7 linked regions of the Canis lupus familiaris genome follow. The protein of the gene in region 1 interacts with the protein of each later gene in a pairwise test. Links are inferred from orthologs where the notes say so. Each region holds a gene or a part of one and is shown on either strand. Other genes may lie near its edges. The genes, in order: CHD3, IMMT, PTN, YAE1, SIRT6, HABP4 and SERBP1.

Region 1 (4,227 bases):
TTGCAAAGAAACTACCAGAATTTTCCGCACCACCCACAATCATTCCCCACCCCCACCCCCAAGGAATCACATCTATATATTATGTTATATTATTTCTCGAGACTTGCCAGAAGGGGGAGGGAGAAGAAATGAGTTTTTGGCTTCCTGCTCCCTTCCCCCACCAACATGAGTGCTATTATTTTAAACGTTTTACAACGTAAGGAGCCGAGAAGGGGGGGAGGGATAAAATTGGTCTTGGGTAAGAATGTAAAACAAAATGGTGAGAATCAAAGCAGTCAGGATGAAAAACAATAGACCTCTAATATGTGCGAATTCATATTCTGGAGAAGGATGAGGGAGGGCAGCCCGCACACATTTCCTTCTAGGAGGCTTATTTTGCCCACACCTAGGTAGACAGAAATAACGAGCGGACCAAAAATATTTTTCTCAAAGTTTTGCCTCAGAAAGTCCGGGGGGGGGGTAGTGCATCTGGGTCACTCTGTTGACTTGGGAGGGCCTCAAGACTGGGGGAGGGGGGGTACGATCGCCCTGGAAGAGGGAGGAGGTGGGTTTTCATTTCAGATACAAATTTTTTTAAAAACATTTGACGTTTCTTCTGGGCTGTTGAGAGAGCAGAGGGGAAGTGGGGAGGGAGGACTGACACAAAAGACCCAACCTCGACCTCAGATTCTTTCATGCCCCTCTCTTACATTCCCAAATCTCAGACCAAAAACGCATAAACACCACATTCCAAGTTGGCCCTACAAATAGGTGAGAACTGTCCGCGGGGCAACACAACCTGACATCCTTTCTCTCCCTCTTTTTAGCACATCAGCTGGGTTCCAGGCACCCCCTCCCCACCATCCTTTATTCCTCCTCCCTCCTGAAACCTCGTGGGTTCTCTGGGATAACTTTCTGAAAACTTTTCTCTTTTTCAGACAAGCTTGGGGAGGGGAGGTGTCCCCGTTTCCATCAGACACGTACCCTCCACCACCCTCACCCCAAGAAGGTACCCCATACTCCTCAAAGGCTGTCTCAACCGAACAGGAACAGTTGCCACATAAGCCACACAGATCAATGTGACAGTTTTACAAAGATAGACGTCCTGAAGTTTGATGCATTCGTGCTACAGGGCTCCCAGAGGCCTGGGGGTGTGGATGTCCCCTTTCCAGCCCCAAAGATGCGAGCACCGTAAGGATGCTCCCCTGTCCTCCAGAAGATCGGCAGTCACTGCATTAGGAGGGTGGTCTGAGGGGGGCCGTTGCTGCCGCCCCCCCTCCACTCCAGGCAGCAGGCTGTCCCAGTCCCTTCCAGCCCTGGTGGAACTGCCCAGAGAGCGCCAGAGGACTTGTCATCCCGGGGGAGGGGTGCCGAGTGACGGTCAAGCTGCAGAACAGCTGGGTGGGCAGTGCACGCCCCCCCATTCCCCGGCATGATCAAGGTGCGGGTGGTTTCAGCGAGAGTGACAGTGAATGGCAGCCACGTGAGAGTCACAGCTGGGCAGCTCGGCCACCCCAGACTGACGGGGTCACACGGCGGGGGGGGGGGGGGAGGGGGCTCGCACTTGACACAAAAGAGCCTGGAGCAGGGTGCTGATAAAGGGGGTGGAGTTGGGGGCATCTGGTCACAGACACTCTCCCCGCGCTCCCCAACCTTCAAGGAGTGCTCTCCCGATTAGGACGGGGGGGGGGGAGGGGGCGCCCTGAGGCGGATTAAGCGTGAGTCCAGGAAGTGGTCTGCGTGGAGTGCGGCCACCACCTGCCCCCCATCACCCGCCGCCCGCAGGCGCTCACGCGACCTCTCCCCCACGCGCCACCGCGCGCCCCGGGGAGTCGGCGGGCGCCCAGGTTCCCGAAGGTGGGGGGTCCCAGGGACGCTGGCCCCCACCCCCACCCCCGCCTCCCCCGCCCCTGAGGGGGGGCGGTGAGGCCCGCGGTCCGCTCCACGCGCGGAAACTCCCCGTCACCTCAGTGCAACCCCACTCGGGCGGGAGCCCGAGGGGCGCCCGCGCGGCCGCCCCTCCCCCACGCGCCCCTCCTCCACGCCGCCGTCCGGCCGCCAGGGTCTCCGCGGTCCCTCGCTCGGCCAGGGAGGGGGCCCTGGCTTCGCCGCGGCCGTTTCCTGCCTACCCCCTCCCAGCCGAGGGTAAAAAAAAAAAAAATCTCCTCCTCCTCCTCCCCCGAAAGCCGCGACCGAGTGGCCCGGTCCGCGCGCGCAGCTCGCGCCCAGCGCTCTCCAGCCCGGGCGGCGGCGACGGCGGCGGCGGTGGCGGCGGCTGCGGCGGCGGCGGCGGGGGAGGGGTGCGGCGGGGGAGGGGAAGAGGCCTGGCCCCGCGGCCGCCGCCGCCGCCCGCCGCCCGCCGGCCCGGCCCGCCCGGGGCCCCGGGCCCGACGCTGGCGCCCCGCGCCCCCGGATTCACCTCGGCTCGGCCGCGCGGTGGGTGCCTCGCCCCCGGCCGGCCTCGCGCGCCCGCGGCTCCCGCTCGGGCCGGGGGGTGGGGGGCGGGGGGAGAGCTTCGGGGCGGCCGCTTACCTGGCGGCGGGGGCGGCGGCGGCGGCGGGGGCAGCGGCGGCGGCGGCGGCGGCGGGAAGAGGTGGCAGCCGGGGGGGCTGTGGCGGTCGCGGCCCCGGTCGTGGCCCGGCCCGCGCCCGAGCACTCCCTCGTCGTCGTCCTCCTCGTAGTCCTCGTCGGCCGCCTCCACCTCCTCCTCCTCCTCGTCGCCCTCTTCTTCCTCCTCTTCTTCCTCCTCCGACACCACCATCTCCTCCTCCTCCTCCTCCTCGTCCCTCAGAGGGGAAGCCATCCTGTGGCTCTGGCCCCCCCACCACCCCCCCACCCACCGCCCGCCCGCCTCCCCCACCGCTACCACCACCACCTCCTCCTCCTCCTCCTCCTCCTCCTCCTCCTCCTCCTCCTCGGCGGCGTCCTCCTCCTCCTCCCCACCGCCTCCCCCAGCCCCCCAAACCCCCGGGCCACCCCCCTCCAGAACCCCCCCTCGGGGCCGCCGGCTGAAGAGGGGGGCCGAACCACCCCCAAAAATTGTCTTGGAAAAAATTGAGAGACTTTCCCCCCCTCCCCTTCCTCCCAAGAGAACGAGAAAGGGGGATTAAAAAATATATATATATATAAAAGTTTTCGACTTCTCTCTGCCCCCCTCTCCGTTGCTTTAAATATATTTAAATTCTGAGGGGGGCGCTCAGAAATATTTCTCAGAGCTGAGGCAGTAAGATGGCCGCCTTGAAATTATTTTTAAAACAACCCCCCCCCAAGCACCGCCACCCCCTCCATGAAGAAAGGGAGAGGGGGGAAAAATCCCCTTTTAAAACAAAATGGCTGGCTTAATATTTCAGTTTTCACCCCCCCATTCTCCTCCCTGTTACACCCCCATCTCCTAGCCTCTACCCAGAAACCCACAAATTTCTCCCTTTTTTCATAACTGATTAGTGCACAGATTAATAGAGATATTTTCCTTGTGTACTGTGTGTGTGTGAGTGTGTGTGAGTGTGCGCGTTGGGGGGGCACGAAGGGTTTCTGCATAAAACAAAAATGGCTGCTCTTTCTAACTCCCCCCCCATAAAAATATTTGAGGGGGGGCATTAATCAGTACTCATGCTCAGTCTGACATCAGCATAAATTGTTAAAGGTTAACTAGTTAGATACTAGTCCAACTAGATTTAAATATTTTTCTTTTCTTTACTAGTCTCTTCCTCCCCACCTCCCTTCTCTTAAAGAAAAGCTTTTTTTTTTTTTTTCTGAATACTTCAGAAGGGAGTGGTTTGATGTGAAGGTTTTTTTTTTTCCCCTTCAGGCATTGAAAAGGAAAAGATGAAATATATGTTTATATATAACTCTTGTTTCTACATACCTCGCTGGAGTCAAAACGCATTTAATTGTGTACGTACCGTCCAAGTGAGGCACGGGGCTGGATTTTTCCCCCCTTTCTTTTAAAAAAAAGTGACAGAAATCCTAGTGACTTTTGGGGGGAAGAGATATGAATAGATACGATGATTGAGGTTTTTTTTTTTCTTCAAAGGAGTCCATGTTTGATTCTCCCCTTTGCCCAGGCTTTTCAGTGATTTATAATTGTTGTAAATTTTATCTGCACTCTTTTCTGATTTACTCGCTCCCCCCTTACCCGACCCCGCCTCCCCCGATTGCCTCGACTAGAAAATTCATCTGACTTGGGAAATGAATTTAGGGGGCCAGGAGTACAGATTTTTAGAATAAAGGGGAGTCAAGTCTGAAAAA
Region 2 (3,640 bases), on another chromosome or scaffold:
GGCATTAAATTCAAAGGTAAAAAATTTCAGTATTTCTTCAGAGTAGGGTCCCTTAATCTAAGGTTCATGGTTAGGACCAAAGTTCACGAACCTCATCAACACCCCCCTCAATACCAACGAACAAAACTATGAAAGATTGTGGTCTAGCACATATAAATATTTTCTAAGGAGAGATGACTTTGTTATGAGATTCACAAAAGGAGATTATGAAGCAGAAAAGGTTAATAAGAACAAGAACTTTATGAATTGTTTGTTGATCACTCTTCAATGAAGCACCACAATTTAAAATTTGAATTGTAGGTCTGTCTACCAAAATCAGTTTAAGGCTAAGTAGAAAGTTTATACATTCATACAGTCCTTACTCCTCCAACACATCATCTTCAAGAATGACCCTCTCTAACTGGTAAAGTGAAAATCAACTATTATCAAACCCACTGCCCCACCTGGAGCTGAATTTTGTAAAATGTTATACACACACATACACACACACACAAAAGGGTTCCTTAAAAATCCTTATAGAGGTCCAAGGATAAGCTATTTTGTAGAATAAACAGTAGAATCCTACTATTAAGCCAAATCCAACTATTCCAAAACACTGCTTTGAGAAAGTAATTCTGTATCTATTTTAAGAGCCCTTGTGCACCAGTTTTTTTTTGTTTTGTTTTTTGTTTTTTTTTACTAGAAGAAACAAGAAGTTGGAATCCATTTTTAACATTTCAAACCTTCTGTTCATTCATATTTCTGGTTATTTTGTAACACTAGCTAATACCCTCTAATCTAATTAACCACTACTGTAAGATGTCCTTTAGTTGTAAAATCTTGATCTCAACAGATTTCATACGATCTAAATCCACACGCATTACATATTGTGTGTTCACTGGGAAGAGGAAATACCCTCTTACATAGTCTTCTGCCAAAGTAAATACTATGGACATTTAAATCTTCTAATAAGGCGCCTGGGTGGCTCAGTTAGTTAAGCATCTGCCTTCAACTCAAGTCATGATCCCAAAAAGGTCCTAGGGATGGAGCCTCACATGAGGCTCCCTGCTCAGTGGGGAGCCTGCTTCTCCCTCTCCCCATCCCGCTCATGCTCTCTCTCAAATAAAAATAAAATATTTTTTAAAAATAAAAATAAATAATAAAGCTTTTATTCAGTGTCCTGAAACATACCAATCTACTTGCATTTGAACCCAACTCCCTGCCTTCCCACATCTGCATAGCCAAAATATTAAGTATTCTCTGCGTGGTTTCCACTTTTCTGACTGAACTCTGACTGAAATTTAAATTTCTTCTTTCTTGTACTTTGAATAAACCAAAATTTTAAGTTTTTTTAAAGGCTGAAATTTCAGGCTATTTACATCAAAGCCCTAATTTAACTTTTTTTGTGATTTATGTGCACAGGACTAAAACAATGCAGTGTGTTTCAATTTTGTAAAAAGTACACAGTGTGGCAAAGTAATTTTACTAATCATGCAAGATCCTGATCCCTGAGATTCATAGTTTATGTACTTATTTTTACTCTTTAAATGACCTAGTATCAAGAAACATTTTTACACACTGAATAACTGAATGTAATTATAAAAAAAAAAAATAATTAACTCCAGGTATTAACAGTTTTAAATCAATGTAATTACTTTATTCTCTAAAGTGCTCAATATAAGTTAAATAATCATCTTTAAGCATTTAAAATAGCTGGTGTCAGGGGCACCTGGGTGGCTCAGTCAAGTGTCTGACTCTTGCTTAAGTCTTGATCTCAGGGTCATGAATTCAAGCCCCATATTGGGCTCCACGTTCAACAAACAAATAAATGAAAATACTAAAATAACTGGTATGGGGGTACATGGGATCTCTATTTTTTTCTTTTTTTGAGAGAGTGTGAGAAGCAAGGGTGGGGGCAAAGGGAGAGGGAGAATCAGGCTGGCACTATGCCCAGCTCAGAGCAGACACAGGGCTCAATGCTCGATCTCATGACCCTGAGATCATGATCTGAGCCAAAATCAAGTAGGATACTTAACCGACTGAGCCATCCAGGCATCCCTCTGTATTATTTCTTATAACTGTGTATCAATCTAAAAGTATCTCAAATAATAATAAAAAATAAATTAATTAATTAATTAAAGTATATCAAAGTAAAAAGTTTATTTTTAAAAAATGGCAAAAAGAGGGATCCCTGGGTGGCGCAGTGGTTTGGCGCCTGCCTTTGGCCCAGGGCGCGATCCTGGAGACCTGGGATCGAATCCCACGTGGGGCTCCCGGTGCATGGAGCCTGCTTCTCCCTCTGCCTGTGTCTCTGCCTCTCTCTCTCTCTCTCTCTCTGTGTGACTATCATAAAAAAAAAAAAAAAAAAAAAAGGCAAAAAGAATATAAATAAATTTTTTTTAATTTTAATTAAAAATGGTTGGAAACTTTAAAGTGAAAAAAAGTAAATGACAAGGGACGCCTGAGTGGCTCAGTGGCTGAGCGTCTGCCTTTGGCTTAGGGTGTGATCCTGGGATTCGGGATTGAGTCCCACATCGGGCTCCTTGCAGGCCTGCTTCTCCCTCTGCCTGTCTCTCTCTCTCTCTCTCTCTCTCTCTCATGAATAAATAAATCTTTTTTTTTTTTTCTTTTTTTTTTTTTAAAAAGCAAATGACAAGTAATATTCAAGCACTATTAAGATATGAAAGCAAATATGAACTAATTCTTGTACCATATCATTGTTGTGAGATAAAACTGTATATAAAACTCATTAAAAATAACATTTAAAGATTTTTCCTGCCTTGCTTATTTAAAAAAACAATTACTCTAGGTAGTCTTCACTTACTGAGAGAAAGCCCCTACTAGAAGGAAGAAATCAGTCCTAAATACTACATCAATACCCATTCTTTGGCTCACCTCCGAATTGTCCATGGCTGCTTTCAAGATGTTGGAGTGTGCGTTGACAGCCTGAACCGCAGCATTCTGAGCTACAATGGCCTGTTGAGTGATGTGAGCGGTTTGGCTCAGAGCATCTTCTAAGCTCTTGGCTACAGCTGAAATACATACAGAAGAGTTAAAAAACAAATCCTTCCATTGTACATAACTTTAAATTTCCCTTCTTCTCCTACTGAGTCCTCCATTGAATTTCCTCAAAAATGTAAGAACAAAAAATATAGATTTAGAAAATCAGTTTTATTTGAAGGTATGATAAAATGCTAGTAGATTATTAAATCTGGTGGACATATCTATGGGGATTCATTATACTATTTTTACTTTTATATATAACTGAATTTTTTCAAAATAGTGTTTTGGGTTTTTTTAAGACAAAAAAATGCTTAAAGAAGGCTAGCATATACTTCAAATAGAAGAACAAGGGTTTAAGCACTGTTAGCTCTTTATAGTTATTAGAGGCTGTAAATTCAACATAACCACCAGCTTTTTCAATTTAAATAATGATCCTACAGATCCACAGGGAAAAAGAGGTGCCCATTTCATCTCCTCAGCAGGAAGGGATACTCATAGCAACTTATATAACCAAAATATGAGTAGATAACAGATATGAGAAAGAAAAAGATAAGGAAACACGTCAACAAAAAAGAAAAACTGGGATCCCTGGGTGGCGCAGCGGTTTACCACCTGCCTTTGGCCTGGGGCATGATCTTGGAGACCCAGGATCGAATCC
Region 3 (3,640 bases), on another chromosome or scaffold:
ACATGCCCCTATGCTTACTGCAGCCTCCTTTACAATAGCCAAATTACGGAAGCAGCCCAAGTGTCCATTGACTGACGGATGGATGGAGATGTGGTATATATACACAATGGAATACCATTCAGCCATAAAAAGGAATGAACTCTTGCCATTTGCAATGATGTGCATGGAGCTAGAGAGTACAATGCTAAGCAAGATAAGTCAGAGAAAGACAAATACCATCTGATTTCATTCAAGTTTGGAATTTAAGAAACAAAACAAAGAAAAAAAGGAGGCGAACCAAGAAACAGACTCTTGACTAAAGAAAACAAACTGATGTTTACCAGAGGAGAGATAAGGGAGGATGGGGGGAAATAGATGATGGGGATTAAGAGTACACTTGTCATGACGGGCACTAAGGAGTGTATGGAATTGCTAAATCATTATATTGTACTCCCAAAACTAATACAAGACTGAATGTTGACTACACTTTAATTAAAACTTACAAAAATAATAAGAAATCATGCTCCAAAAAGTGTCTTCTTCCATTTAGGAGTCCTCTTTGCACATCAGTGTTAGGCTTTACCTAGTGCTGTGAAATATAGAACTCGCTCAGGCTAATCCCATTTTCAATTAATTGTATATACCTTAATTTTTGATATTTGAAATTACAGACTGTTTACCCACTTAAAATATTTTACCCCCATTTTTCAAGGTGAAAGCATGAGCCAGACTTATAACCTTCATTATATATTACCAAATGAGAAAATGGAAAACTATCTGCCAGTCCAGTTCAAAAGAAATCCTCACATACTTGTCTTTGCCAAATAATCCGAAGGGTCTTCCTGAATCATGTCCCCACACTGTCCTATCTATTCCAGACTTTTCAACATTTTCCATATCCACCCAGCCCTACCACCATCCACCACCTAATCCTTCTCTCATTTTTCCCTACTCATCCATTAGACTGCAGTCTCTCTCCCCCACAGGAAGGAACGGAGTAGATTGTGTACACGTGTGTGCACACATGCATGGGCATGCATGCGTATACGCACATGTGAGTGTGTGTGGTCTCTATGAGTTTCAAACTCAGTAATTCTTGATTCCGGCTGATACTGAAATCTTTCATGGGACATCTTAATTTTCAAGGCTACTGAGGCTGAGATAGCTGGTCTGGGTTATGCCTGGACAACTGGGAGTTTTAGGTAGGAAATTCTAATGTGCAGGCCAGGGTGAGAACCACTATGGTAGAACATGGAGACTTCTTTAATCCCTTTTCTTTCCAATGCTCTATTTATGCTGAACATTTTGGTTCTCTGTCTGGCTACAAAGTAATTTGGACACTGTATATCTCTGAGTTCTTCCAGTTTTGGAGAAGTCTCACTGGATAGATACGGCCACTAATTTTCATTAGATCTGTGTAGTTGTCTCCAGGCAAGTAATACTCGTAAAGCTGGCACACACGCACTCATGTACTGACCCCAGCCTCACATCATGCCTTCCAAATACACACTGCAACCAGCAGATTTCCATGATCTGCAAAGGGCAGCTTGAATCCTAGATGTGCCATCTGCAACTCTAGCCTGCATCTGGCCACCAAGCAGTTGAAGGTAACCATATCCACGGACAACTCTATCAGAGGCTAAAGAGCTAGGTCTGTGAAATGAGTCCTTTCTGACTATCAGCAGCAGGCCAGCCAATCCTCCTGATTTTTGGAGGTATTTTATCCCCATTTTCATTTATTATGGACTTCATTTTTCTGAGTTTCCCCTTATATTTAATCTGGTCAGTAAGACTTTTCTGGTCCATTTTCAAGCTCAAATATGAGCAAAAAACAGGGAGGTATCTTAGAGTTCCCAGAGACCTACTGTATTCATTTGCATGGGTGGCTTCAACAATAGAAATTCTTCTCAGAGTTCCAGAGGTGAGAAGTCTAAGATCAACAGTCAGCAGGGTTGCTTTATTCTGAGGTGTGTCTGCTTGGCTTGTCGATGGCCATCTTCTTGCTGTGTCTTCATACAATCTTCCTCTGAATGTGTCTGTGTCCTAATCTTTCTTTATATGCCAGACAGATTGGACGGGGACCCACTCATATGATTTATTTCACTTTAAGCTGGCGCAGGGTGGGGGGACACCATTCAGCCCCTAACACCCATGAAACAAGACTGCAATCCCCCCTTGTCTGCCCTCAGCTGAGATTCTATTTCTGTGAAACCATAGCCATGATATTTGTTTTGGTTCCCCTTCTCTGGCATGAGAGCAGAGTGTAACTTTCTGGGAATGACTAGAAAGACAGCCCTATATAATTTTAAAATTCTATGATAAAGGGACTTGGTAAAACTGAAAGAATTGTGAGAAATACAGGAGAAATGTAAAATCATGTGGCTGACTTCATGCAAACTATATATGCTGGATAATCTAGAAGAGACCTGATTTTAGATTTTCTGCCTCATGATCTTCATAAATGTGTTCATCATACTTGTCAGGATGCAGTCTCGATTTAGGACTTGGAATATACAGTCACCATTCAACGACTGGCGTGTTCTGCTAAATTGTTTATTTGTGCGAGGAGATTATTCCAATCCCCACCCCCACTCCCCATCTGTGCAGAGGATTCTAATTTGAACTCATCAATTGCCTGCTGAAAAGCACTGGTGTGATGCTCAACATAAAGGGCTTTTTCAATCCCTTTCTTGAGGTAATTCACCTAAGATTTCCCTCTAGAATATTCGAGTCTCCACATCTGAAGATCCAGCATGACCCATTAACATATGCATAAAGAAAGCATGCTATGATGACAGGAACCTACCTTGAGGTTTGGGCTTAGTCAGTTTGCCACAAGGCTTGGAGATGGTGACTGTCTTCTGGCAGTCGGCATTGTGGAGGGCTCGCTTCAGACTTCCGGTTCTGGTCTTCAAGGCCGTATTCAGGTCACATTCTCCCCAGGCCTGGAACTGGTATTTGCACTCCGCTAAAGACAAGGTAGGATGAAAGAGAAATCTTTGAGTTCCTCTAGATAGACACTTTTCTTTTTAACTTTTTGCAGTGGGATCATTGTAGAGTCACATGTAGTTGAAAGAAATATATGGAGAGATCCCTATATCCTTCACCCTATTTCCCCCCAATTGTGATTATCTTGCATAACCAGAGTCCATGGACACAACCCGGAAATGCAGAGGGACACATTCCTCAGGGGTTATTCATGTTCTGCCAATTTCATAGACACTCAGTTGTGTGTACCCATGAATGTGTGTGTTTAGTTCTGTGTGAAGTGTCACTTCTATAGATACGAGCAAACACCAATACCATTAAAGTGCAAAAGAGCTCCAACGTGAGAGTCCTCTGGGTTATTCCTGTCACAGGCTTAGCTTTGGCACCTTTCTCCCTTTCCATCTCAAGTCCTGGCAATCACTCATCTCCTCTCCATCTCCGTAATTTTTGTCATTTTAAGAATGTTATATAAATGGAATCATACAGTATGTAACCTTTTGAGATCAGCATTTTTTCACTCAGCAGTGAAACATTTCCTAGAGGTCCATCCAGCTTTTGCGTTTCAACAATCAGTTCCTCTTTTTTTTTTACTGAGTAGTATACATAGTAGGCATATATCACGGGTTGCTTAACCATTCACCAGGTGAACGATAGCTGGGTTGTTTCCAGCTCT
Region 4 (4,325 bases), on another chromosome or scaffold:
TTTCTGTACTTATAAAAGATTTATGTAAAATGAATACTTGATCATTTTCCTACTGTAGACTATAAATTCTGATTTCTGACAGTTGAATTTTCTAAAACCTCAATGAACTTTTTTGTTTTGATAACTTTAAAAATTTTTTAAAAACTAATTTAAAAATTAGTGATTCTTCGAACCATTTTATGTTTTTATTTTTTTTCCTAATTTAAAAGGTACAAAGTCTCCAAGATGACAAGCATGTCATTATCCTAGCTCCTTCTGCCATTTGACCTCTTGGCTCTGATATGTGCCATTATTAGTATGGAATCTTGACAGGTATTCAGTGTTCAGCACTAAAGTAAATGGAATCATTTTTCTATGACCAGATATAATTTTCCTCATGCACTTCTAATCTAGAAGTCTGTTTTATTATGCTCTACCACATGTCCAAGATTAAAAGCTTTATTTAAAACCTGAAGATCTTTTGAATTACTTTTGAGATACAAATCGGTGGTAGTTCAGGCAGCACAAAATATACACGTTCCTATCATTTCTTTGCAGTAAGAGACAACACCTGACATATATTAAAGTAGATGAACTGACGGTTCAAGTAGATGACTTTCTGAAGGCAGTATTATTTTATGGTCACAGTACTCTTTTGTGGATTTAACACTAGGAAAAGCACTTCAGTTTAAATACTTTATTTTTACATACTACTTTTATAAAAGGCCTCCAGGAGTACTGAGGTTAAAATGACTCAGCATATAAGTTTAAAAAATTACCTCAGTGTTCCTCTGAGTTGTCCGTAGTTTATAATGATTTCTGCACCTTCCTTATAACCTTGATTGAAGCCTTGTTGAAGAGTAACAGCTTTGCCAGCATCTATTCCATCTCTATAGCCTTCCTAAAAATAAGTAATGAAGAAAACTGCAGCTGTAATTAACACCAAGTAAACCACTGTAGGTTTTTCTGGAAAGTCATAAAACCGATTTAGAATGTTGATGAAATAGGCCTTTACTGCTGTTTACTATTTAACATAATGGTTCTACAACCTATGGCACAGCCACACAACCCGAGCAGATTATGCTTCCCAGCAAGGTTTATTATTCGCATATCCCGCTTTAGGAGTCGACTTATTTGGCACATTTAAAAATACAGATTTTAAAAAAAATATATTCTATTTATTCACGAGAGACAGAGGAGAGAGACAGAGAGAGAGGCACAGACACAGGCAGAGGGAGAAGCAGGCTCCATGCAGGGAGCCCGATGTGGGACTTGATCCCGGGACTCAAGTATCAGGCCCTGGGTCAAAGGCAGATGCTAAACCACTGGGCCACCCAGGCTGCCCCAAAATATAGATTCTTATACAGATTTTAAAAACCCTGTGTTAACAATGGCTTCACAGGAAGGAAAACAGAGAGTTAATGTCTGGCCCCTTGGCAACACTGACTGATGAGCGTTGGGTGAGAAGGTAGGGCAGAAAAGAGGTTATCAGAGGTCTTCAATAATCAGCTCAAGGAGGGAAAGAGGAAACTGGGTGAGTAAAAAAAGATGCAAAGTACGGTTTTAGAAATCTTGCCTGGTATCTAAATTTAAATAAACGGCAAATTCCCTGTGGGCGGAGATACTGTCCTGCGTCTCCATCTCCTCTGGTGCCACTGCACTCCAAGGCCGGTTGCGACTCACTGGTCTGGCCCCCACCTTACATCAAGCGTTTCTGAAACTGGTAACGTGGTGGTTGGGCTAAGCAAACATTTCACTGAAACAAACAAGGGCCAATCGGGCAGTATTTTGCTTGGGAAAGACCTTGGGTGGAAGTGGACCTGGCCGTGTGAACTCAGCTCCCACTGCTCCACCTGGAGACTGAGGGCGTGGCATTAAGCTTAGTTTCAATGAACAAAGCAGAGAAAGATAATGCACACCCAGCAAATAAAAAAGCAGCCAACTTTGGTATTCCTTCACCTAGCCCCACGGTACTCCACAGCAGCTTTCCTTTATTCCTATTTGACATTTCTTTTTATCATTATTACTATTTAAGATCTTAATTTTTTTTTAAAGATTTTATTTATTTATTCATGATAGAGAGAGAGGGGCAGAGACACAGGCAGAGGGAGAAGCAGGCTCCATGCAGGGGGACTCGATCCGGGGACCCCGGGGTCACGCCCTGGGCTGAGGGCGGATGCTCCACCGCTAAGCCCCCCGGGCATCCCTGCTTCTGGACATTCGTAGGTTCACCTTTCCCGTGTGTCTCCAGTAATAACCACTCCCGGGCAGCCCGGGGGGCTCAGCGGTTTAGCGCCACCTTCAGTCCAGGGCGTGACCCCGGGGTCCCGGGATCGAGTCCCGCATCGGGCTCCCTGCGTGGAGCCTGCTTCTCCCTCTGCTTGTATCTCTGCTTCTCTCTCTCTGTGTCTCTATAAAAAAAAAAAAAAAAAAAAAAAAAAAAAAAAGTAACCACTTCCGACGTTGGGCTCGTGACCCGTTCGAGCAGCCCGTCCACGCCCTCCGCGAACCTCCCGGCACGGCGACCCCCGCCAGGTCTACACCTAGCTCGCGTCTGCTCCCAGCGTCCAGCGCGCCCCGAGGTCTCGCGCGCTTTCGGGTAACCCCTCGGTAACCCCCTGGAAAGCCCTCGCGGGCCCCGCGGCCTCCACCCTCGCGCCCGCGCTCCGCTCTCTCCACAAGCCGCCGTGTGTCCCCCGCGCCCGCCACGCAGCCTTACTTTGACTCGTCTCTGCATGTGGCTCCGCCATTCCCGCTGCACCAGGAGAGACTCGTCCGCCTCCTCGTCAAACACGTCCCCTTCCTCTCCGGGACCCCGGACCAGCGGGGCCCTCTGAACCCACGACATCACCGAGGCAACCGCAGGGCGGCCGGGCGCCGGAAGCGCCCGCAACGTCTTCCGGTCCGAGGGGCGGGGCGAAGGCTGCGCGTCGGGGCGGGGGGCTGCCGCGCATGCGTGCGTGACGTCGGGTCGGGCCGCGGGGCGGGAGTCGCTGCTGCGGGACCCGGACCTCCTCGGAGGGCAGCCGGGACGTGCGGGGACACGCTTTGCCTTCCGGCCGGGGTGGAGCCGTTGGAGGTGGTTCAGTGGATGCGCGACGACGGGCCGAGGTCTCGGTGTCTGGGAAGCTCCCCGCAGCGCATCTTAGGGGTTTGACGTCCACGGGCCTTAGCCGTCAGCGGCACAGGACTGTAGGGCCCGAAAGGTAGCTCCTGCGGCCAGTCCGAGCTCCATCCATGCGGGGCGCCCCTGGAGTGCGCTTCTCCCGGGGTCTCGGGGCCCGCCGCTGGCCCGCCTGGCTGCGGAGGCCGGCCCTGGTGCACCTGCAGGGGCTCGGCGCCGCCTGGTCCCCACCCGGGGCGGGGGCGCTGGGACGCGTGCGGGTGACGGAACCCACACCGGGGCTCGGGCCGTTCAGCTTTTTTTTTTTTTTTTTTTTTAATATTTTGTTTATTTATTCATTAGACACACACAGAGAGTGAGAGGCAGAGACACAGGTAGAGGGAGAAGCAGGCTCCATGCAGGGAGCCCGACACGGGACTCGATCTCGAGACCGGGGTCACGACCTGGGGCCAAGGCAGGTGCTCCACCGCTGAGCCCCCCGGGCTGCCTGCCCGCCGTTTAGCTTTTTGCGTGGTGATGGGGTGGTGATGATTTATTTATTTGATGCATTTTGTGGCGCCAGGCACCGTTGCAGCTTTCGGGGTACGTCAGGGAAGGACAGACCTGACTTAGCAGCTCTCCTCCGGTTTACGTTCCGGTGGAAGGGGCAGGAGGAACCAGAAGCACGGTATAGGTGAATTACGTAGTTTGTTACCAGATCATAAGGGATACATGCTGTGAGACAGAGAAATAAGTGAGCTGGGCAGCCCGGGGAGCTCAGCGGTGGAGCACCTGCCTTCCGCCCAGGGCGTGACCCTGGGGTCCTGGGATCGAGCCCGCATCGGGCTCCCTGCAAGGAGCCTGCTTCTCCCTCCTCCTGTCTCTGCCTCTCTCTCTCTGTCTCTCATGAATAAATAAAAAAAATCTTAAAAAAAAAAAAGTGAGCAAAGTAAGGGGAACCATGAGCCTGTGTGTCAGGGGGAGTGGGTGGTTTAGGTGATCATTTTAAATGCTCAGAATTTTGCATTTACATGCAAAATTTTAATTTTATGTATGTTGCATATATATGCATACTATATATAGTAGTTACTATATATTATACATGGAATATATATTGTGTATAATATTGAATACATTATACAGAATACAATATATATTATGTATATAATGCATATATATTTTTTACTTGGTAGGTCCATGGAATTATGTATAAGAATACTCCATAGTTGGCCACATAAAATAC
Region 5 (3,640 bases), on another chromosome or scaffold:
TACTGGGGTCCCTGGGGTGGGGTGCCAGTTTGAGACCCTTACACTTCAGCAAGGTTCTTGTCTAACAACAGGATGCCTGAAGCAGGAAGGAGTCTAGACACTGTCTGGTTGCACGCCCTTGTTAATAGGTGAGGAGGCTGAGAGCTTGATGGTTAAAGCCACTTGCCTGGCGCCAGGTCTGATAGAAAAATATTTGCAAGTGAGCATGGAGCTAACTGCTCCTGACCTTCCCATCATCTGACGTAAATAGAATCCCTTCCCCCCACCCCCCACCCCCGCCAAAAAAAGGGACACCTGGGTGGCTCAGCAGTTGAGCAACTGCTTTTGGCTCAGGGCATGATCCTGGAGTTCCAGGATCGAGTCCCACATCAGACTCCCTGTATGGAGCCTGCTTCTCCCTCTGCCTGTGTCTCTGCCTCTCTCCTTCTGTGTCTCTCAAGAATAAATAAAATATTAAAAAAAAAAGAAAGAAAGAAACCCAATATTTAGGCATGTGTGATGAGCCCAGGCAAAAAGACTACATTCTGGAGATCCCTGGGTGGCTCAGCAGTTTAGTTCCTGCCTTTGGCCCAGGGCATGATCCCAGGGTCCCGGGATCGAGTCCTGCATCGGGCTCCCTGCAGGGAGCCTGCTTCTCCCTCTGCCTGTGTCTCTGCTTCTCTCTCTCTCTGTGTCTCTCATGAATAAATAAATTCTTAACAAAAAACCCAAAAAACAAAAAGACTACATTCCCCAAAATCTCTTGCAGCTAGGCATGGCCAGGTGACCAGGTCCTGGAATGGGATGTGAGCAGAAGGTTGAGCATGCCTTAAAGGGACATGTCTGCAAGGGCAGGGTCTTCCCCAAGCTCAACACCCCCAGGGGGAAGGTGGCAGGAGGGGTTCTGATGCCCAAGCCTCTGTGAGCTGACAGGGAGCTGCTGGCTGTGTGGCAGCCCTGCCTCGGCTTCCCCTCCACGCCCACAGACCTGAAGTCTGGGATGCCCGAGGCGGTGCTGATGCCAGCACCTGTGTGGAACACCACGTTGGAGGACTGCCAGACCAACTGTGCCAGCTCCCACACCTTGCGCTCCAACTCCTCAGGCGGGTCGAAGATCTGTCAGGGGATGGAGCAAAAGGGGGAGGTCAAACTGTGTCCCGGAGGGCAAGGTCACTAGCCACAGGCGGGGAAGCCCTGCCTCATCCAGGGGAGAGAACTCACTGGAAAAGGCAGCTGGTCCTCAGGTCCCCCCTCTGCCCACAGCCCTCCAGGACTCCCCCAGGGTAAAAGCCTAATCCTTCCCAGTGGCCCCCAAGGCCCTGCACACCCGCCCCATCCTGTCCCCCTCTCCCCCTCGCCCGCTCTGCTACAGCCACCCATGCCTCCTCACTGTACCTCCAACACACCAGGCCTAGGCCTGATCCTGTGCACGGGCTGTACATGGCTCCTCCCTCACCCCCTTTAGGTCTCGGCTCAAAAGGCCCCTCGTTTGCACACCCAATGTTCACAGAAGCATCATTTACAATCGCTAAAATGGGGAATCAACACAAGCATCCATCGATGGATGAAAGGATAAACACAATGCGGTCCATCCATGTCCGGAATATGATCCAGCCCTAGAAAGGAAGGGATCCCGACACCTGCCCCCGCGTGGGCGGACCCGAGGACACCGGGCTCAGGGAGAGGACCCAGACCCAGAAGGACGCCTCCCGCAGGACCCCACTCCCAGGAAGTCCCCATAGGAGGCCCGTCCACAGAGACAGAGGAGGTGGTGGGAGCCAGGGGTGGGGCAGGGGGCGGGGGTCAGTGCTTCCTGGGGACGGGGTCTCCGTGTGGGGAGACAGAAGGTTCTGCAGACAGTGCTGGGGGTGGTCGCACAACAGCATGAGCGTGTTCTATGCCGCTGAACTGTGTACTTAAAGATGGTTAAGGTGGTACATTTTGCCACAATAAGAAAGAAAGAAAAGAAAGAAAAGAAAGAAAAGAAAGAAAGAAAGAAAGCCCAAAAGTCATGTAAACGATGCCTCCTGGGCTCTGGTTTCAGTGCAGCCCCAGCTCTCACCACCGCTCCCGGCCTTACTTTTCTCCACCCTCTACTTTCTTATATTTACTTGCTCCTCGGGCGTCTTCCTGCCAGAATGAGGGGGTTTGGGATGCCCTGTGCCCCACTGTGGCCCCAGGGCCTAGCAAGCACCTGGCTGGTGCACAGCAGGTGCTCAAGAAATGTCTGTGGGCTCAGGCGACCGACCGGCAGGAGGAGGAAGCGGAGGAGACAGGGGCTGGGGACGGGGCTGAGGGCTCGGGCTGCACGAACCGCTCACGCAGAAGGCACAGCCCAGCCCGCAGCGGATGGGGCGACCCCCCACCCCGCCCCCGCCCACGGGGGGGCGGGGGACCCAGAGGGGCAGGGACTCCCCGCTCGTCCGGCAGCGGCGGAGGGGTCTTTGTGACACCTGAGCCCGTCCCTGCAGCCCAAACCCTCCCCCACCGCCTGGCACGTGCGGCCCCCGCGCTCCCGCCCCTGGGCTCCTCTCCGGCCTAACTCGCGCTCCGAGGGCGTTTATTCGCCTCCTCGCCTCGCCCTCCCTGCAGCTGCGCCCCGGCTTCCCCCGTCACCCGCTCGGCCCACCCGGGGCTGGGGGCGTCCGGGTCCCCGGGAGCGCAGGGGGCGTCACTTCCCGCCCCCTCCTCCCTGGGAAGTCCCTCCCATTGTCTAGCCTCGGTGCCTCCCGATGTTCCCACAATGCCCCGCTGCCGTCCGGCCCCGCCCAGCCCGCGGCGCTGCGGGCGGCCTGCCGGACTCCGGGCCCCGCTCACCTCGGGGAGGCCGCACTTGCCCTTGTCCGCGTACGGCGACAGTCCCGCCGCGTAATTCACCGACATCCTCGCCGCCCCAACGGGAACAATAAAGTTTCTCTTGTTGAGGCCGCTTCCGCCGGAAATGGGGCGGGCCGGGGGGGCGGAGCCGCGTTCCACCGCGCTCGCCGGGCCGCTCCCTCCAAGGCGCATGCGCCTCGCCTGTCGCCGCAGGCGCCATGTCAACTGCTGGCAAAGGGAAGCCGGCCCGCTTGGACGCGGTGGCGGCTGGCGGGAGACCGCGGCGAGCACCCCGCGGAGATTTGTGCAGTCACCCCTGAGATGAGGGGCACAGGCGCGCCTGGGTGGCGCAGTCAGTTAGGCGTCTGCCTTCGGCTCAGGTCGGGTCCTGGGATGGGACGCGGGTGCGGCTCTGCTCCCCTGGGAGCCCGCCCCTCCCTCTCCCTACTTGTGCTCGTAAATGAATTAAAAAAAAAAATCTTGCAAAAGAATAAAATGAGGGGCACAAGTGGCCAGCGCGTCCCCTTTGCTCTTCTTGCAAATGAGCAAATGGAGGTCCCCACGCCACCCCCCGCCGTCGCCGAGGCCAGGTGCTTCCCGTCGAGGCTCTTTCTGCTGCACATTTCGGGAGTTTATGAAAGTCACAAACGCAGGGTACTCGTGCAAGTGTGCGGCGGGGGCCTGGTGTGTGCAACGTGGGGCCTTGGACGCCGCTGCGGATTGCCCAGCGCTGCCCAGGTGCGGGGCAGTCTCCCCTGGGCAGGGCAGGTGCGCCGCTAGGAGACCGCTCAAGGGCACTGGGGCTGGTGGCCTCGAGGATGCGTTGAAGAAACGCGCGGGGGAG
Region 6 (4,421 bases), on another chromosome or scaffold:
ATAACAAAGAGTAAAGAACAGAGGTGGGAAATGGCAGATCCCTTCTCAATCCCTTTTTAGATATAAGAAAAAATGTTCCCAGGAGTCCTCCAGAATACTTCCCTCAGGGAAGATCTGCACCAAGAGCCTATTGCTACACTAATCATTGGCAGGAGAATGGAATTACAGTGCATGATTTAAGATTAATCAAGTTTGAGGCTAGAAGGGGGCCCAGCTTCCCCTGGCCCATACAGGCACCTGATACCATAACAAAACACAGGTTCTGGGGGAAAATGTAAGAGGAAAAGGAAGGGCTATGAGACAAGCAGCTGGGTGCCAGACAAAACTTCCTGGAGGATTGTCCAGTTCAGAGTTCTCTGAGCTCCAGGCCTTAAATGAAAACAAACAAATGAAACAAAACCTCAACATGTCCAGAACTGATTTCATGATTCTCATCAAAATGGTCTCTTACAGTGCTCCATTTCCTTGGAATGCACCACCATGGCAGCTGCACAAGCCAGAAATATAGGAGTCATCATACCCTCTTCTTTTTCCTCAACACCCGTACCTACTGCGTCACCAAGTCCTGTTGATACAACCTCCAGAATAGCTCTTGAATCTACTGATCCCTTCCCTTCCACTGCCACCATTCTAATTCAAGTCACATGCATCAACTCTTCCCTGGAGCTCTGCGACAATCTTTTGCTTGGTCTCCTTGCATTTACTCCAACCTGCCTCCTATCTAGTCCTTCACATTGCAGCTGTGGCATTTTAAAATACATGGCTTAAGCTTAAAATTTGCTTCCCGCTACTCTTAGAATAAAGACCAAGGTAAGGGTCTCCGCCAGCTCTTTGCAATTCAGTTACAACGGTTTCCTTTGAGCGTTAATGGCTTGTGCTCCATCCCACCTCAAGACCTCTGTACTTGAGGTTGCCCCTGCCCCCGCCATTCCTCGTGTCTCAGTTTAACCGTCACTTCGAGGGAAAGCCTTTCCAGGCCTCCTAATTAGGTCAGGTCCCTCTGCTTCGGGCGCGTAAAAAAGTCCGTGCCTTCTGTTTAGGGCGCTTTTCTGTCTGCAGACTAAGATTGATGAGAACACGGAGCTCGCATCCCTTACAGCACAACCCCTTACAACCCCACTGCGTAGTTGAACGGCTGGAGGAATATACACACTTCCAAGAGTGGCCCGCAAGGACTGCATCCCGTGTCCCGGAAAGAGGACGGGTAACAGCCGGAGCCCGCCCGCACAGCCCGGCAGCCCGCACGACCGGCAGCCCGCACCCCCAGCCCCGCGGCTCCTCCCGGTAGCCCCGCCCCTGCGCCCCGCCCCTGCGCCCCGCCCCTGCGCCCCGCCCCTCTCTGCTGAGCCTGGGGGAGGGGCATAGAGGTCGCGTGACGTGACAGCAGCCCGCCGTTGATTGGGCTTCCAGGGACGCCGGCTAGGGGAGGGGGCGTGTCCTCCTGTGCTGATTGGCTGCCGAGGGGCGCCGGGGTGGGCGGTGGCGGCGGCGGCGCGGCGGCGGCGGCGGCGGCGCGGGGGCAGGTGCCGAGGGGGACGGGACCCCGCAGGGCAGGGCAGGGAGGGCGGCAGCGGCGGGCGGGATGGGTCCTCGCCGCCGGCTTTGCTGAGACTCGCTCGCGTGGGCTGCCGGCCGCAGGCCCGCAGTGGCCGCGGGGCATGAAGGGCGTTCTGGGAAGTCCCGTGGCCGCGGCCGCCGCCGGCGCCGCGATGCAGGAGAGTTTCGGCTGCGTCGTGGCCAACCGCTTCCACCAGCTGCTGGACGACGAGTCGGACCCGTTCGACATCCTGCGTGAGGCCGAGCACAGGCGCCAGCAACAGCTGCAGCGCAAGAGGCGCGACGAGGCGGCGGCGGCTGCCGGGGCCGGCAACCGCGGCGGCAGGAGCCCGGCCGGGGCCTCGGGCCACAGACCTGGCGCGGGTGGCGGCCGGAGGGAGTCCCAGAAGGAGCGCAAGAGCCTCCCGGGCCCCGGCGCGCCGCAGCCGGACAGCCCCGGGGTCGGCCCGCCGCCCCCTGGTACGCGCGCCCCGCCCGGCACCTGGGCGCCCCCGGATAGGCGCGGGGGTCGGGGGGCAGGACAAGGGGGTCACGGAGGTCATCGCTCTTGGCCGCCTCCCGACCTCCGCTGCGAGACCGGGGCCTGGGGGTCCTGGTCCAGAGGGAAGGGGCCTTGTGGCGTTGGAAGGTAGGAGAAGAGGACGGGAGGGGGCGTCACGCCCCTCGCGGGGGTGGAGGGGAGCGGGCGTGGAGCGAGGGTCTCAGCGTTCTGGAGCTGAGCCCTTACAAGTTGGGCAAAGTTGAGTCACACGGCTCGGGCGGTGCGTGTGGCGGAGGTGACCCCGGGGAGCTCAGAGGTAGAGCGTGCGGAGTCCGACTCCGTCCCCCAGCCGGACCTCTGTCTGCAGGATGCCGGTCGGGAGGCCGCAAGGGAAGCGTGGTGGGGAGGGGAAGGCAGGAGGGCGCGCCCGGCCGCGGGGTGCTGGAGCCGAGGCCTAGGTGACCGCGGGGAAGGGCTGTGACGTCAGGGCCAGGAGCGGAGTGCGGCGGGGACGGCCGCGGGGTCCCCGGCTGCGTGCGGGCCGCGCCTTCACCCCACCCCGGCACCCTCCCGCAACCGGCCGGTCGTTGTCCAGTGCAGCATGTAGTGTCCTTGGGATATGTAACCTGTCCTTAACTCGGGCTGCTTCAAGAAAAGCGTTTGTAACCTTTCACCTTTTCAACAAGCACAAAGTTCCCCACACCGCGTGTACCAGAGACCCCGGTCCGCATCTATCAGGGAGGGTGCTCAGGACTCGCTTGTCACCTGAACTGCATCAGCCCGTAGTCTGCAGGACTCCACCTGTGTTCCATCTGTATTCCTAAAATAAGGCGGTGATGCTGAGTGAGGCTTGCTTAATGAAAGTATTAAGGTTAAGATGTGTCGTCCGACCGCTCAGCCGTTGTTGGGCAGCGTATTCAACTCGCTTCTCTGGCTCGTTCCTTGCTCATGACAGCTGTGCTCCCAGCTGAGGTTACAACTCCTGACTTAAGGGTTGGGTCTTTGACTCGGGCAGGCTAGGTAGTATTTACCTGTAAAACTTCAGTCCAACAGTATCGCTTGTGAATCAGAAAATTCACTACAATAAAGATGTTGGAAACTATTTTAAATGCTTCTGGATATCTCAAGACCCCCATGCTGGTAGGGCCAGTACGTTTATGGGCCTATTTAAGGTGAATGAAGCTTGAGATACATTGTACATTTGGTGTTCTCATTTTTCTCATAAATCTATTTAGATAAACATAGTAATGAAAAAACTGAGGAAGGCTCAGCTTTTCCTCTCCCTTTTTAACAACTGAAAACAATGTGTTTTATCCTTTAGAATAGTGTGAAACTCCATTTAGTGCTATCTGTTAATACATTGCTTTTTAACCTTTTTAATGTTGAAAATCATGCATTATTATAAGGATTTTGAACGGTTCCCTAAATGTATGAAGTAAAGTAAAATTATCCTGTTTTTCTTACTTGTTAACACTTTGCATTTATGTACATACAGAACTATTTCTTTTTTTCTAATTTAAATGATATATGAGCTGAGTTGCAATCTGCTTTCCCTTAGCATTGTAATCTGGGTTTACTAACTTTTCTGTCAGTTGTTCATGATCCAGATGATCTGGCTTTTGAGATCCATATTAAAAATCTTTAGTTAATTTTGTAGTTAAAATGGAAATTTTGTCATTTGTCAATTCTTTTTCAGGCCTGTGTTCAGTTCATTAATTTACATTCATGTAGTTACTGTACTAAATTTTTAGAGAGCTACTCTCTCAAGGTTTTGTAGCCCTAATTGATATGGATTGTGCTTTTCTAACATTCAAAATTTTTAATTTAGAGTCTTATAAGTGAATGCTCAGTATGGACAGGAATCAAAGTCAAAACATATTTGACATATATTGGAAACATTTTTGGATACGGATGTGGAAAGCGTAAGATTTTCCCATAGAAACAGGTTTTTAACGTCCTTCACTATTGAACAACATATATAGACTGTACCCAAGCCTTGTTCGATAAATTCATTCTTGAAATTCATAGAGGCTATTTAAGCTTTGCTCTTCCTAACCTTTCAGAACTACTGTCCTTGAGTCAGAGCTCAACTTTATTTTGTAGAACATCTCACTGTAAATTTTATTATACTCTGTCCCTTCATATGGGCTTGGGTATAGGTCAGTGCTTAGACAACATGTGCCAGCCTTTTATTGGAAAGAGCTAGAGAAATTCAGTGTTTGCATTATCCACTTGGTGCTGCTGACCCAGCACAGAAACAGTCGGTTCAGTTGCAGTCTTGATCTCTTAGCACTAGATTGTGGGGGAAAAAACTGGACCCCTTTTAATCTTTGGGTGGTGGGGAGAGAATGAAATGTTCACAGTGTACTTATAATTATTCTAA
Region 7 (3,640 bases), about 11 Mb from region 1:
CTAGCCAGACAGAGACCATGAATTAACCTAACGCAAAGGTTACTGCTAATACTTTAATTTCAGTCATTAACAGCATATACTTTGGCATCAAATGATCAGAGTAAAAATTTATCAATCACTAGGTCTTCTATAAAAATATTTAAGAACCTGTCATATACACTGTATGAGGCATTAAATTATAAAGGGAGGACAAAAATGAATCCCAGCTCTCAACACTGCAGTCTAGTTTTTTCTAGATTATTGAAAAAGTGTCAATAATCATCCGGTTAGTGTCACACAATTATGCACACAAATGCTACACTGATACTCAAAAATGTAGCCAAGAGTCAAGGCAAAGGAGATAGTTGGCATTTCAAGTAGACTTTAGCTAAAGCTCAAGTTAACTTGGTTCCCTGTACCTAAATTTCCTCTTCTGTAAAATGGGGATATCAATATAGTAACAAGAATGAAATGCCATAGTACATAAAATACCTAGCACACCACCATGACCAGCACCAAATACTCAAAAAAGTGAAAATTTAACTTTACTAGCAAGCACTCTTCAGTCAATTTAAGTGCTTTTAAGCAAAAATACAGCCTAAAATGTAATTTCTTGAAGGTATATCTAACTACTTCTTCCTTCTAATCCTAGCCCCAAAAGGACCCAGGGCACTGATTTACCAAAAGAGGTCCTCAAATTACTTTAAAAAGAATTCTTAAAATTACCTTGTCAGTTCTGCTGCCACGGTTTGGACGTCCACCACGCCCACGGCCACCTCGTCCTCCCCTGCCACCACGTCCTGGGCGGCCAAGGTCTCCAAAATTGATCTCCAGCTGAGACGTTATATCATTTGCTGGCTTCCGGAAATGATGGTCCATAACCGAATCTTCAGCATGAGCCTAAAAATTTAAGAGTAGGTCATGGGGTGATTAACAGGAAAGCAACACTGCAAATTTCTAATTATTGAGCTTTCTCTTAAAAAGACCAAGAATCGGGATTTCCTGGGTGGCTCAGCGGTTTAGTGTCTGCCTTTGGCCCAGGGAGTGATCCTGGGGTCCTGGGATCGAGTCCCACATCAGGCTCCCTGCAAAGAGCTTGCTTCTCCCTCTGCCTGTGTCTCTGCCTCTCTCTGGGTCTCTCATGGATAAATAAAAGCTTAAAAAAAAAAAAAAAGAGGGATCCCTGGGTGGCGCAGCGGTTTAGCGCCTGCCTTTGGCCCAGAGCGTGATCCTGGAGACCCGGGATCGAATCCCACGTTAGGCTCCCGGTGCATGGAGCCTGCTTCTCCCTCTGCCTGTGTCTCTGCCTCTCCTTCTGCCTGTGTCTCTGCCTCTCTCTCTCTGTGTGACTATCATAAATAAATAAAAATTAAAAAAAAAAAAACATTAAAAAAAAAAAAACCAAAAATCCAATCTGTACTTCGTGAACAAATACAACAAATGATAATTTAAAAATATCAATACCACTAAGGTAATATGTAAACTTGGAGATCAGCTGTGATCTTAAAGGAAGAGTTCCTTTCACTTTTAACTTTATAAACTACATGTGATATTGGCAAGTCTTGATCAGAGGTATGTAATCACAACCACTCAAGTCTCTAGGGCCCATTTGAAACCTACCAAATCATAATCTTTAGTGAAGTTTGGGTAAGTACATTTTAAATATGTCCTTCAGATTAGATTCCAATGTGAACCCCTGATGAAGACTTTTGGATAGATTGCACGGGAGGTCTGTATCAGGGATTAATACTAAATCACTTTGTGAGTTTTAAAGAAAATTCTGGGTCTGCACTCTTCTAAGTCTGACTTGGGAAAATTGCAGAATTACAGACTCAAAAGTGAAATCAGGGAACCTTGAAAAGCTATAAGCACAAATAAATCCAAGCCTTAAATACAGCCAGGTAACCTTAATGTCAACATATTTGTGAAATCCAGGTCCTCCTTTGTATTTATATATAAGGTATACCACCCACTCTGTAAAAAAAACAAAACAAAAGCCGGACAATTTTACACTGCTTAATTCCTAATTTTTTCCTGTATGTTTGGAATGAATAAATTTTCACCTTCTAGTTCCAAACCTTTCTTATAGTACTTTGGAGTGTGTTTTAGTTTTTCTAAATGCAGGTACAATCCTTTTCTGAAGGAATAATGAACATTTTGTTCTTTTTAAATCCTGTAACACCACAACTGTTAATAACTTACCACTCACTCTAAGTACCAATGAATTTTATATCTGCGTCTTCGCCCCTTTGTCTAATATCCAAATTAATTGTCATTCCTTAGTGCTAAGCCAATCTAAAGGCAGTAGACGGTTCTTCTTAAAATATCAACTTTAGGGCAGCCTGGGTGGCTCAGCAGTTTAGCACCGCATTCAGCTCAGGGCCTGATCCTGGAGACCCGGGATTGAGTCCCACATCGGGCTTCCTGCATGGGGCCTGCTTCTCCCTTTGCCTGTGTCTCTGCCTCGCCCTGTGTCTCATGAATAAATAAGCTCTTTATATATATATATATATACACACACACACACACACACACACACACACATATAAAGTCAATTTAAATTAATGTTTAAATGTAAATCCAGAAAACCTGCAAAGTCAATTATACATACTAATTGTTTGCTATTGCAAAACAGTATTATCAATTCATTAATTAGAAGCATTTAAGTTTCTAGGAAACAGAAGCAAAAAAGCCTAATTGATATACTACTGAAACACCTCAAAGGTTTTATTACAATAATATAGAGGAAGTTTAAATGTTGGTGAACATCCCTTTAAGACAGCTAGTAGGATAAATCTGCAAAGTTTTTTTTCTAGAGCAGTGAATGATAATCAGGAAATAAGAGCTTTGGCTTCAGCTCTGTCAATTAATACCCTAATTCAGTTATTCATAATCAATTTCACATTTTAATTTTAAAACTTTCTAATTATATATAACGGTTATTTCTGAGAAGCTCAATGTAAAAATATGATACCTAACCTGATGTCTACAAAATGCATGAAGAGACTTCAGAGTAATTAATGAATCAAGAAAAATGTATCAGTATTTTGTGTATGTGTCTTGTTTTGGAGAAGACCTCAAAAAAGTTACAAATTATGCCAAAGGTACCTTAAGTAAATCTTTTCCATATTAACCTAAGCAGTTTAATCATTTCTACAAATTAACAATCTCCCCAAGATGAATTTTCATTGTTTCTTTAATCAAGAATACTTTAACCCAGATACACAACTCTATCTGCAAGAATTATAAAAAAAATTTTTTTAAATAAGCAAAAGCATTCAAATGAAGCAAAACGTCTTTTCCGACACGACTTCGCACTTTACAACATATCCCTGTTTATATTATTTTATGGAGTCAATGTTGTTAAAAAATAATTTCTAAACCATAAGTGTCTCAACCTTTATTTTACAATGTTCCAAGTTTGTTTCACAGCTATTTGTTTAGAAAATGAAGACGCAATATCTCATTGAATCTTTTAATTACACTGCCTTAGTAACATTTCAATTTAACTTTATGATTAGCATCTCCTACTTGCATAAGCCTTAAATGATGTAGCAGTGGGACTTTCCTCTAATAACGTGCTCCAGGGATTGTTACCCAATCAAAAACCACGAACATACCTTTCTCAAGTATTTTCATTAGTAAATTACTTTGCTGGTTC

Evidence for each region.
Region 2: the proteins of CHD3 (region 1) and IMMT interact in a two-hybrid assay, tested with the Homo sapiens proteins (2 studies listed by BioGRID and IntAct). The link is inferred for Canis lupus familiaris from reciprocal best matches to the Homo sapiens genes CHD3 and IMMT.
Region 3: the proteins of CHD3 (region 1) and PTN interact in a two-hybrid assay, tested with the Homo sapiens proteins (2 studies listed by BioGRID and IntAct). The link is inferred for Canis lupus familiaris from reciprocal best matches to the Homo sapiens genes CHD3 and PTN.
Region 4: the proteins of CHD3 (region 1) and YAE1 interact in a two-hybrid assay, tested with the Homo sapiens proteins (2 studies listed by BioGRID and IntAct). The link is inferred for Canis lupus familiaris from reciprocal best matches to the Homo sapiens genes CHD3 and YAE1.
Region 5: the proteins of CHD3 (region 1) and SIRT6 interact in a two-hybrid assay, tested with the Homo sapiens proteins (2 studies listed by BioGRID and IntAct). The link is inferred for Canis lupus familiaris from reciprocal best matches to the Homo sapiens genes CHD3 and SIRT6.
Region 6: the proteins of CHD3 (region 1) and HABP4 interact in a two-hybrid assay, tested with the Homo sapiens proteins (3 studies listed by BioGRID and IntAct). The link is inferred for Canis lupus familiaris from reciprocal best matches to the Homo sapiens genes CHD3 and HABP4.
Region 7: the proteins of CHD3 (region 1) and SERBP1 interact in binary tests that used the Homo sapiens proteins (3 or more experiments, as listed by UniProt). The link is inferred for Canis lupus familiaris from reciprocal best matches to the Homo sapiens genes CHD3 and SERBP1.

Annotation. Positions count from the first base shown.
Region 1 is NC_049226.1:32,947,494-32,951,720, reverse strand, and holds the start of CHD3 (chromodomain-helicase-DNA-binding protein 3), read right to left. Parts: upstream 2,808-4,227; 5' UTR 2,783-2,807; coding exon 2,512-2,782; intron 2,416-2,511; exon of another isoform or gene 2,334-2,415; intron 1-2,333.
Region 2 is NC_049238.1:39,271,589-39,275,228, reverse strand, and holds part of IMMT (MICOS complex subunit MIC60), read right to left. Parts: intron 3,012-3,640; coding exon 2,875-3,011; intron 1-2,874. UniProt on the Homo sapiens protein: Component of the MICOS complex, a large protein complex of the mitochondrial inner membrane that plays crucial roles in the maintenance of crista junctions, inner membrane architecture, and formation of contact sites to the outer membrane.
Region 3 is NC_049237.1:11,030,623-11,034,262, reverse strand, and holds part of PTN (pleiotrophin), read right to left. Parts: intron 2,948-3,640; coding exon 2,786-2,947; intron 1-2,785.
Region 4 is NC_049239.1:10,248,505-10,252,829, forward strand, and holds the start of YAE1 (protein YAE1 homolog), read right to left. Parts: upstream 2,885-4,325; 5' UTR 2,828-2,884; coding exon 2,699-2,827; exon of another isoform or gene 2,531-2,698; intron 881-2,530; coding exon 759-880; intron 1-758. UniProt on the Homo sapiens protein: The complex LTO1:YAE1 functions as a target specific adapter that probably recruits apo-ABCE1 to the cytosolic iron-sulfur protein assembly (CIA) complex machinery. May be required for biogenesis of the large ribosomal subunit and initiation of translation.
Region 5 is NC_049241.1:55,814,659-55,818,298, reverse strand, and holds part of SIRT6 (NAD-dependent protein deacetylase sirtuin-6), read right to left. Parts: exon of another isoform or gene 3,014-3,640; intron 2,926-3,013; exon of another isoform or gene 2,863-2,925; coding exon of another isoform or gene 2,797-2,862; intron 2,455-2,796; exon of another isoform or gene 2,091-2,454; intron 2,053-2,090; exon of another isoform or gene 1,375-2,052; intron 1,096-1,374; coding exon 968-1,095; intron 179-967; exon of another isoform or gene 43-178; intron 1-42. UniProt on the Homo sapiens protein: NAD-dependent protein deacetylase, deacylase and mono-ADP-ribosyltransferase that plays an essential role in DNA damage repair, telomere maintenance, metabolic homeostasis, inflammation, tumorigenesis and aging.
Region 6 is NC_049222.1:70,965,904-70,970,324, reverse strand, and holds the start of HABP4 (intracellular hyaluronan-binding protein 4), read left to right. Parts: upstream 1-1,585; 5' UTR 1,586-1,658; coding exon 1,659-2,016; intron 2,017-4,421. UniProt on the Homo sapiens protein: Ribosome-binding protein that promotes ribosome hibernation, a process during which ribosomes are stabilized in an inactive state and preserved from proteasomal degradation.
Region 7 is NC_049226.1:43,517,429-43,521,068, reverse strand, and holds part of SERBP1 (plasminogen activator inhibitor 1 RNA-binding protein), read right to left. Parts: intron 880-3,640; coding exon 706-879; intron 1-705. UniProt on the Homo sapiens protein: Ribosome-binding protein that promotes ribosome hibernation, a process during which ribosomes are stabilized in an inactive state and preserved from proteasomal degradation.